Macaca fascicularis: one gene and its partners. The protein of the gene in region 3 interacts with the protein of the main gene of each other region in a pairwise test. Links are inferred from orthologs where the notes say so. Each region holds a gene or a part of one and is shown on either strand. Other genes may lie near its edges.

Evidence for each region.
Region 1: the proteins of UBE2I (region 3) and SIAH1 interact in a two-hybrid assay, tested with the Homo sapiens proteins (2 studies listed by BioGRID). The link is inferred for Macaca fascicularis from reciprocal best matches to the Homo sapiens genes UBE2I and SIAH1.
Region 2: the proteins of UBE2I (region 3) and ETV6 interact in a two-hybrid assay, tested with the Homo sapiens proteins (2 studies listed by BioGRID and IntAct, with this or other methods). The link is inferred for Macaca fascicularis from reciprocal best matches to the Homo sapiens genes UBE2I and ETV6.

Annotation. Positions count from the first base shown.
Region 1 is NC_088394.1:44,266,576-44,269,613, reverse strand, and holds the end of SIAH1 (E3 ubiquitin-protein ligase SIAH1), read left to right. Parts: intron 1-556; coding exon 557-1,407; coding exon of another isoform or gene 1,408-1,510; 3' UTR 1,511-2,481; downstream 2,482-3,038. Other genes in the region: LONP2 (lon protease homolog 2, peroxisomal), read right to left, coding at 1,391-1,510. UniProt on the Homo sapiens protein: E3 ubiquitin-protein ligase that mediates ubiquitination and subsequent proteasomal degradation of target proteins.
Region 2 is NC_088385.1:14,669,001-14,671,610, reverse strand, and holds the end of ETV6 (transcription factor ETV6), read right to left. Parts: intron 1,248-2,610; coding exon 1,142-1,247; 3' UTR 558-1,141; downstream 1-557. UniProt on the Homo sapiens protein: Transcriptional repressor; binds to the DNA sequence 5'-CCGGAAGT-3'. Plays a role in hematopoiesis and malignant transformation.
Region 3 is NC_088394.1:2,058,757-2,062,409, reverse strand, and holds part of UBE2I (SUMO-conjugating enzyme UBC9), read right to left. Parts: intron 1,750-3,653; 5' UTR 1,739-1,749; coding exon 1,673-1,738; intron 1,481-1,672; coding exon 1,397-1,480; intron 146-1,396; coding exon 73-145; intron 1-72. UniProt on the Homo sapiens protein: Accepts the ubiquitin-like proteins SUMO1, SUMO2, SUMO3, SUMO4 and SUMO1P1/SUMO5 from the UBLE1A-UBLE1B E1 complex and catalyzes their covalent attachment to other proteins with the help of an E3 ligase such as RANBP2, CBX4 and ZNF451.

The DNA.
Region 1 (3,038 bases), about 42 Mb from region 3:
AAAATTTTGTATTATTTGTAAATTTTTCTGAATATTTTCAATCCATGGCTGTGGTGAAGTCCTTGGATGCAGACCGTGTGAATACAGAGTGCCGATTTTATCCAGGACTTCACCTGTAACTCCCTATACCTATCAATAGCTGACTCCAAATTAGAAAGAAATAAGAGTAAGGGAGTCTCAGGGAGAGAGTCCTAGCAAAACGGATTCGATTAAACTTCAGTTCCTTGTATAGTTTCTCTAGTTGTTTATGGTCCATCTTCTATTTTAGCATTTATTATTCCATGTAGTCTATCCAAAGACGATTAAGGGAGTTCCAAATGTTTTCCGGAATATTTTGAAAAGAGAGCTTATCCAGTGTACAGATCCTAATAAAGTGCACATTCAGTGTAATTTTATTTTTTAGTATGTTACTTTTTAAATTCTATTTATTTTTCTTTCTCTTTTGCTCAGTAAATTTTGCATGAAACTTTAAGTACTTCTGGCATGTAAACATTATTTGTAAAATAAGTCATGGTTATAATTATTTTTCTCCTGCCTCCTTATGTATTTATTTCAGAAATGAGCCGTCAGACTGCTACAGCATTACCTACCGGTACCTCGAAGTGTCCACCATCCCAGAGGGTACCTGCCCTGACTGGCACAACTGCATCCAACAATGACTTGGCGAGTCTTTTTGAGTGTCCAGTCTGCTTTGACTATGTGTTACCACCCATTCTTCAATGTCAGAGTGGCCATCTTGTTTGTAGCAACTGTCGCCCAAAGCTCACATGTTGTCCAACTTGCCGGGGCCCTTTGGGATCCATTCGCAACTTGGCTATGGAGAAAGTGGCTAATTCAGTACTTTTCCCCTGTAAATATGCCTCTTCTGGATGTGAAATAACTCTGCCACACACAGAAAAAGCAGACCACGAAGAGCTCTGTGAGTTTAGGCCTTATTCCTGTCCGTGCCCTGGTGCTTCCTGTAAATGGCAAGGCTCTTTGGATGCTGTAATGCCCCATCTGATGCATCAGCATAAGTCCATTACAACCCTACAGGGAGAGGATATAGTTTTCCTTGCTACAGACATTAATCTTCCTGGTGCTGTTGACTGGGTGATGATGCAGTCCTGTTTTGGCTTTCACTTCATGTTAGTCTTGGAGAAACAGGAAAAATACGATGGTCACCAGCAGTTCTTTGCAATTGTACAGCTGATAGGAACACGCAAGCAAGCTGAAAATTTTGCTTACCGACTTGAGCTAAATGGTCACAGGCGACGATTGACTTGGGAAGCGACTCCTCGATCTATTCATGAAGGAATTGCAACAGCCATTATGAATAGCGACTGCCTAGTCTTTGACACCAGCATTGCACAGCTTTTTGCAGAAAATGGCAATTTAGGCATCAATGTAACTATTTCCATGTGTTGAAATGGCAATCAAACATTTTCTGGCCAGTGTTTAAAACTTCAGTTTCACAGAAAATAAGGCACCCATCTGCCTGCCAACCTAAAATTCTTTTGGTAGGTGGAAGCTAGACACATGAAGGTAAATGAAAGGAAAGGCTGTTAAATACAGGAAACAGTTGCATGTAGTAACACTAATATATTTAAAAATAAGTCAACAGTAAACCACTGAAAAAATATATGTATATACACCCAAGATGGGCATCTTTTGTATTAAGAAAGGAAGCATTGTAAAATAATTCTGAGTTTTGTGTTTGTTGTAGATTGATTGTATTGTTGAAAAATAGTTATTTTGTTTTGTTTTTGCGTGGGAGTGTGTGCGTGCGTGGGTGTGTGCGTGTTTGGGTTTTTCTCCTTTAACTGACAAGCCATCTTGAGTGGTCATGGGCCACTGCTTTTCCCCTTTGTGAGTCAATACATAGTGCTGCTGTGTGCTTTTTTGTGTGTGTATTTGCTAATTTTTATTAATTTTAGTTTTTCATTAAATAAATTTGACTTTCCTTTCTGTAATTCAGGTTTTTCTTCACTTTTTTTGTACCATTTTAAAGTTAGTGTCTTTTGATATGCATACTTGTTATGGTAAAAGTTTGTAACATGTGTTCAATATTTTCTTTTCCCCCATTAATCAGTTCATTAGAAATATTTTAAAATCAGCTACTTTGTGAAGCTATGAGTTCCAGAAAGTAAAGGTGACATCGGAAAAATGATCAAAAGCTATTTAAAGCATCTGTAAGATGGTCTCTCTCTTTCTCTCTTCTACGGATGAGTCACACCTTTGAGCTTAATCTTTGAAAGGTTAGAGAATAAATTGATTTTTATAAGTACTGCAAATCAGGCTTTTGTTTCCTTTTTCAAATATCTTGGATAAATCACATGTTTAAAATTTGTTCTTGTATTTATTGGTTTTGCAAAAGAAGGCATCGTCATGCACAGTATTTGTAATTAAAAGCAAATCATTTGTTTAAAAAGGCAGTTTGCAAAAAAATGTTTTTGGTCTTTTATAATTCTCATTAAAAGAATTTCTGGCAAATTAAAAAAATCTTACTGTGTCTGCTTTAGCTCTAAGTTTGATAAAATCCAAAGTTATTTTCCTGTTTCATTCCGTACTTTAATTATATAGCAGAAAGCTGTGTGTTGTCATTTTTAAGTGTGGTAGAGTTATACTCTAAATCACAGCAAATAACTGGGTATATGGCTTCTGGATTACAGTCTTTCCCATGCTCTGCCCCTCTTGCCCACATTTTGATTCTTACAACTGTCAGGAGAATGACTAAAATGCTGACCACTTTTCACCTCTTTAAAAAAGCACAATGAAATAATAAATTTACTATTTCATAGCCTAGTGGTTAAGAGCCTTGGTTCTGCAGCCAGACTTCAGGCACCTAAGTGCCAGTCTCGGCTCTACCCCACTAACCAGCTGTGTGACCTTGGGCCCCAGTTTCCTAATGTGTAAAGTGGGGTTAAATTATGGTAGCTACTTAAAAAGTTTTAATGGGGTACAGGTATGTTACCTCAAACAGTGCTTTGTTCATATCAGCATCCAGTGAATGTTAGCTACCATTATGCCTTTAGTACCATGTAGTTAACTTGCTAATT
Region 2 (2,610 bases), on a different chromosome or scaffold from region 3:
ATGAAACTGACGGCAAGATGGCCTTTGGAATGGAGCAGAGAGGATCTTTCCTCACCAGCCTCTGCTACCTGCTTTGGAAAAATAAATCTCCACTGCAGAAGATTTTTGCCCAGTTTCTAGACTGCTGGGCCTGTGTGGTCTTTTCATATTTTCCACTTTGCAGCGCTCCCAAGCTAATCCCAACTGCCGAGGCCTTCCAAGTAACTTGGACGGCCTTCCGTCCTTATCTTACGCCTTAGATGCGTGGTTCTCACAGTCATCTCAGGGGTGGCTCTCTGGACTAGCATGTATCTGTCTGCAGTACAGCAGCATCTGTGATGATTTTGGCCTCCCTCAGATGGGTGGCCAAATGCTGGGATGTGGGTTTGATTCTGTACTGCTGGCCACAAAGCACCCAGGTCACTGATCCTGTTTAGGTGCCAACAATCCCCAAGACTCTCCAAGAGGCTGAACTCTGTCAGAAGGCATCTGAATCGCAACAGCAGGCAGGGAGGGAGGACAGAGGGGACCAAGGGAAGAACAGAGCAAGAGAGAGAAAAAGAGAGCTCTCCTTTTCATTTTATCTTTTTTAAAAGCATTTTTTTTTTTTTTTTTTTTCAGCCAAGACCCAACAGTAACAGGAACAAACCTGATCCATGTGGCAGGAAAAAGAGGAACCTGAACCGCTCTGCAAGTATTCTCTTTCCTGACCAGCTGGGCTTGCCGCACTTTGTGAGGTTTGCAAAAAATATATATATAATAGATATATATTTCCATAGGAAAACAACATCGGATGTCTTCCCCTAGATGAATGATGAAGAGTCAAACTGCATGTTCTTAAAATAAAAACAAAAACACCATGAAACTAACAACGGTGGAAGGGTGAGGGTGAGGAATTACAGATGGAGATTCCAAATGAGAAGGAAACGTGACATGCGAGTCCCAGGCTCATGCCCTCTGCCAGAATTCCAGCCCCGCCTTTGGGTGGTTTGTCCAAGGTGCTCCAGGGTCCCTCTTCGTCTGCAAGAGAAGTGTCCCTGCCATTTCTGGGTCGCTTCCTTTTCCACTCTCCTCAGCCCGCCTGCTCCGTCACACCTCCAGCAATCCTGGTGTGCAGGGGCTCCCTGGGCTGCTGGCCCGCTGAGGTGGACTGTTGGTTCCTTCAGCATTCATCTTCTTGGTATATTTGTTCATCCAGCTCCTGGGACTCCAGGTGCTCCAGACGGTCTGTTCGGCCACTCATGATTTCATCTGGGGTTTTCATAAACCTTTGGAAGAAGTGGAGGAGTTAAGAGATTCCATTTTCCTAAAGCCGTCTTCACTCTGAACTCTAGCCTGTGTATAAAGTCTCCATCATCTTATACAGCTGGAGAGCTACTGAACCCCGAGATTAACGCTAACTTAGTGCAAATTAGGAAAAGGTACCCCTTTCTCTGTCTAAAAAGTGGCAAAATGATTATTTAAAAAGACTAGGGCCAGGCATGGTAGCTCAGGCCTATAATCCTAGTGCACTGGGAGGCCAAGGTGGGAAGACAACTTGAACCTAGGGAGTTTGAGACCAGCTTGGGCAACATAGCGAGACCCCACCTCTACCAAAAAAAAAAAAAAACAAAAAACCAAAACGAAACACAACAACCTGGGTATGGTGGTGTGCACCTGTAGTCCTAGTTACTTGGGAGGCTGAGGTGGGAGAATCCCTTAAGCCCAGGAGGTTGAGGCTGCAGTGAGCTATGATCATGCCACTGTACTCTAACTTGGGTGACAAAGTGAAATCCTAATTATTTAAAAAAAAAAAAAGTCTAGGATGTCTGTGAGGTAGTGAGCACCCTTTGGGACCGTGTGGTGTATTACTGCATGACCATACAGGAAAGCCTTTGTCCAGACCATGTATATATGTTTCTTTCTTTTACAGGATTAGATTTTACAGACTCACGAGAGCTGTATATCCACTTCCATTCCAGACTGTGAGCCCAGGAAATGGTATTCAAAACTTACATTTCAAAGGATATAGTTAAATGTTAAGTGAAAAATGCTGACAATAGGACAACTTAGTGGAGCTTCTGGAAAATTAGAAAGGCAAAAAAAGAGAGAATCTTTTACAACGTTATCACGGATTCACCCAAAATGACAGCAATGAACCTTCGTTGGTCTGTCTACCTTTGCAACTGGGGTGTACAGCAAGCCTCATCTTCCTGTTCAATGGGTTAAACTGGAAGTGACATCAATGACATGTTTCGACCATGATTTACAATGGCTCAGGAAGGCAGCCTGGTTGCAGATATTCCGCCTGCACTGTAGGGGCACCCTTTCCAGTCCCCCCTCTGTGCCTGCATACTTTTCTCTCCCCATATACTCTGCCCTGTACCACTATCTTAGAACTTACATTTTCTCTCATTCATCCATGTGCAAAAGCCTACAAGGACCACTCAACAAGTCAAGGGTACATCCTTTTGCTCTGCTCATCGGGTTCTTCTACCATCTTTACCTAGGAAGCTCTTATTTTCCACTGTTCACCAGTATGAACCCACTGCAGTCTAGTGGTCTAGGCTCTTGTATAAATCATGGCACACGCTCTCCTACACATCTTTAGCTTTTCCCTTATCTGGAGCCCTCCTGACTCTTCTCACGAGT
Region 3 (3,653 bases):
CCTCTTTGGAGAGGACTCCGATCCCCACAGGAACAGGCTGACTTCCAGGACACTCAACAGTGAGCTACTTACATTTTGGTGGTGAAGACGGATAATCATCTTTGAAAAGCATCCGTAGTTTAAACAAGCCTCCTTCCCACGGAGTCTGTGGGGAAATAAACTGTGGTGAGATGGGCGGCTTGCCCGCCTCAGGCCAGCCCAGGAGGAAGGGGCTCGCTTCTAGGACACAACTCCCACGACTGCCAGGACACCGGGGCCAGAGGCCCGACAGTGGCGGCTCCCAAACCAGCCTAAAGCCTGAACTGGCCCCACCAAGGGGACTGTCAGGACCTCTGCTGTGCCCAGAGAGTAAGTCGGAAAGGTCCTCCTAGAAAGGAGACGAGACGGGGTTCGGGGGCTGGGCCGGGGCGGCGGGTGCCACACACTGGGGCGGCAGCACCAAAAGCACAGCCTTCGCCCCAAGGGTTCTGCAAGCCCCGCCCCAGATCCTGCCTGGATGAGGCGCCTTTGCCACCCCACAATCCGACACCACTCCCGTCTTCCTCGGGGCCGCACACCTGCATCGCGGTGACGTGAAGAGCAGGGGACGTTCTCAGCAGAGCCTCAGACAAGCGACAAACCCAAGTGACACCATGTCTCAGGCAAAGCTGAGACCTGCTGGGACTACTCAGCTCAGGGGGACCGAAGCTGCTTTGAGTTTCAGAGTGAAACCCAGAGGGTGGCATGGGCCGGAGGGAATAAGGCCTCGGGCAGGACCAGCACCTCAGGGCTCTCTCCTTCCTTCAGGGTTCACCAGCATGAACCTTATGTGCACACCAGCCTGGAGTCCCCGGCCAAGTGCTTCACGGGAGCCGGGCAAAGACGACAGGCACACAGGCCGCCCTGCTCCCCACAGACACACAGGGGGCCCCAAGCAGGCATCCTAGGCTGCTGTCGCCAGTCCCTGTGCCCCAGGAGGTTCTCCAGGAGGCGGCTTTACGCCGGGGTGGCTCTCCAGCAAACCCAGCTCCCGTGACCTGAGCCACACCTGGAAGGACACAGCAGAATCCCGGGTTCCAGCCTGCAAAGGCTGCCCGCCCTCAGGCCTGCTCCCAACACACACCAGAGCCCCTCCCCTCTGCCACAGCTCAGCCCTGTGCCCAGCCTGCTTCCTTCTCAACCAGAAATGCCCTCGGTGGGGACACAGCTGTCACCCCAACCTTGCCAGCACCACCTTCTGAGCTCAAGTCCGCACGGGGCGGGGGCCAGGCCACAGCTGGGGATCTGACCTGTTGTCCGCAGCCCGTGACAAGGGCGGCCGTCACAGACGGCAGGGGCTGAGCAGTTTCCCTGTGGCGTTGCCACACGCATCTGTTGAGCCCCGACAGGCAGGAGGCTAGCAGCGCGCGCCTCTTACCCCTTTCTTTCCTGGAATGGCGCACTCCCAGTTCATGAGGTTCATCGTGCCATCGGGATTTTTTGTTGGGACAGCCACGAAACCCTGAGAGAAAACAACCACAAAAGCACATCAGTGCGGTGGCATCTCGTTTGACCAAAACCACTGAGAACCGGCCCGCGAGCCCCACCAGCGCGACCCAGGCACGCGGCCAGCTCCCTCCCAGTGGGGGGGGGCACGGTTTCAGCCCAGGGGGGCCGTCCGCGGCACTGCACACGGAAACGAAGCCCTCCTTACAAACGGGTGGTCTTTCCTCCATGCTTTCCTCTCCTGGGCGAGTCTGCTGAGGGCGATCCCCGACATGTTCAGAGTCCCTGGAACACAGGAGGCAGAGCACGGGGTCAGGACAGGCTAGCGGGCTCCTACCGCCCCGCCACGTGCACACGGCCCGCAGTGGGCAGTCTTGCTCCTAACAGGCGCCAGCCCAGCCCAGCAGAGACTCTCCTCCTGGAAGCCGTCGTCCGACCCCGGGGTCTACCAGGGGAGGCCTCATGAGTGGATCCCAGATCACCGGGGGTGGGGGGGCAGGTAGGACCCCTTCCCCATGGGCCCCCCGAGCCCTGGTCTGCGACACGTGCCGTGGCCTCTGCTCCACGGTGGAGACGGATGTTCAGAGGCTGGGCCACTGTGGCTGGGCGGTAGCTGCCACCCTGTGGTGGCTGGCGTGGCAGGGTCCTCACTGAACCGTCAGGTGGGGACTAGGCAGGGCTGGGTCCCCGCCTTACTATCAGGCGCTCAGAACTGAGACTCAAGCCGGGCCAGGGGGACACCTAATATTGTTGTTTTTTTTTTTTTTTGAGATGGAGTCTCACTCTGTCCCTCAGGCTGGAGTGCAGTGGCACTATCTCAGCTCATTGCAACCTCCGTTTCTTGAGTTCAAGCAATTCTCCTGCCTCAGCCTCCCGGGTAGCTGGGACTACAGGCCCCCGCCACCATGCCCGGCTAATTTTTGTATTTTTAGTAGAGATGGGGTTTCACCGTGTTGAAGACAGAGTGGAACAAGTACCACAGGGCAGAGGCTCAGCCTCGCTGAAAGAGGAGCCCCCCACAGGGCCACCGTTCCCGGACCCTGCAGACGCTAGCATGTCCCTGTGGCTTCAGGGGACAGACGGGTCCTGTGGGGCAGGGCAGGAGCATGGGGTACGGGACCAGGTCCCTGGTCAGAGGCAGCGGCACACACGCCAGATTCCAGCTCCACACTTCTGCACGGGACCTCAGGGGCTTGGCACCTTTGCCTTCTGGTTCCCAGCGGGAGCCTGTCGGCCCGCACTGTCCCCGGGGACACCAGGCAGACAGGGCCAGCAGCCTCGACACCAGCCTCACCTGTCACCCTACTGGTGGTCACCTTTACCATGAAAAACAGCACTCAGGGCACAAAACCTGCCAGAGAATTCAAACCCAAGTGTGTGCTGGTTTTCAAAGTCCACGGGAACACTGAAGCTGCCTCCAAGTCTGGCATCTCAGCGCCAAGCAAGGGCCACCTCAACAAAGCTGGGGGCTGCGCCAGGCCTTCCAAACTGTGGGGGGGCCGTCCCTACAAGGGCCCTGGTGACCTGGATGGCGCCCGCACCTGTGCAGGCCCACGAACCTCACACACCTCACAGCTGCAGGGAGGGGCCAGGTCAGCAGCTCCGCCTGGGCCAGAGCCGCCGCAGCCTCACCTGGCACTTGTTAGGGAGGCAAGGCCCAGTCCCCAGCAGACTCATTGAGGAAGGAGCTCCGAGAGGCCCACATTCAGGTTTTGGGCGGCGCGATGGCTTCCCGAGGCAGCAAATCAGAAATCAGGGGTGGGGCTGGGATCAAGGAAGCCCAGGCGGGTCCAGTGTCGCCAGGGAACCAGGGTGCTGGAAGCCAGGCGGGGCTGCTAGAGCCGCCTGCCCTGCAGGTGGATTTGGCTCCTTTTTAACCAAACACGGATCCTCAGGGCAGCCTGAGAAAAATCAGGCAAAGGAACCCGGGTCCTCCAGTCAGTAGGTGCTGGCATCACAGCGAGAGGGTGACAGGGGCCATCCAGGTACTGGCCTCCAGCTACACGATTAAGTCCAAGACAGGTAGCCCCAGACTGGGCCCCACCGGGATGTCCCTCCCCATACCCTCCTCACAGGGATGCGGAGGAGCCCGCAGGCCGCCTGCCCTCTGGACCACTTGCCCATCCCCATGCCCTTCTCTAAGTGGGGGTGGGGGGAAGCCAGGGGCCAGAAAGGGAGAAAGTGGGGGA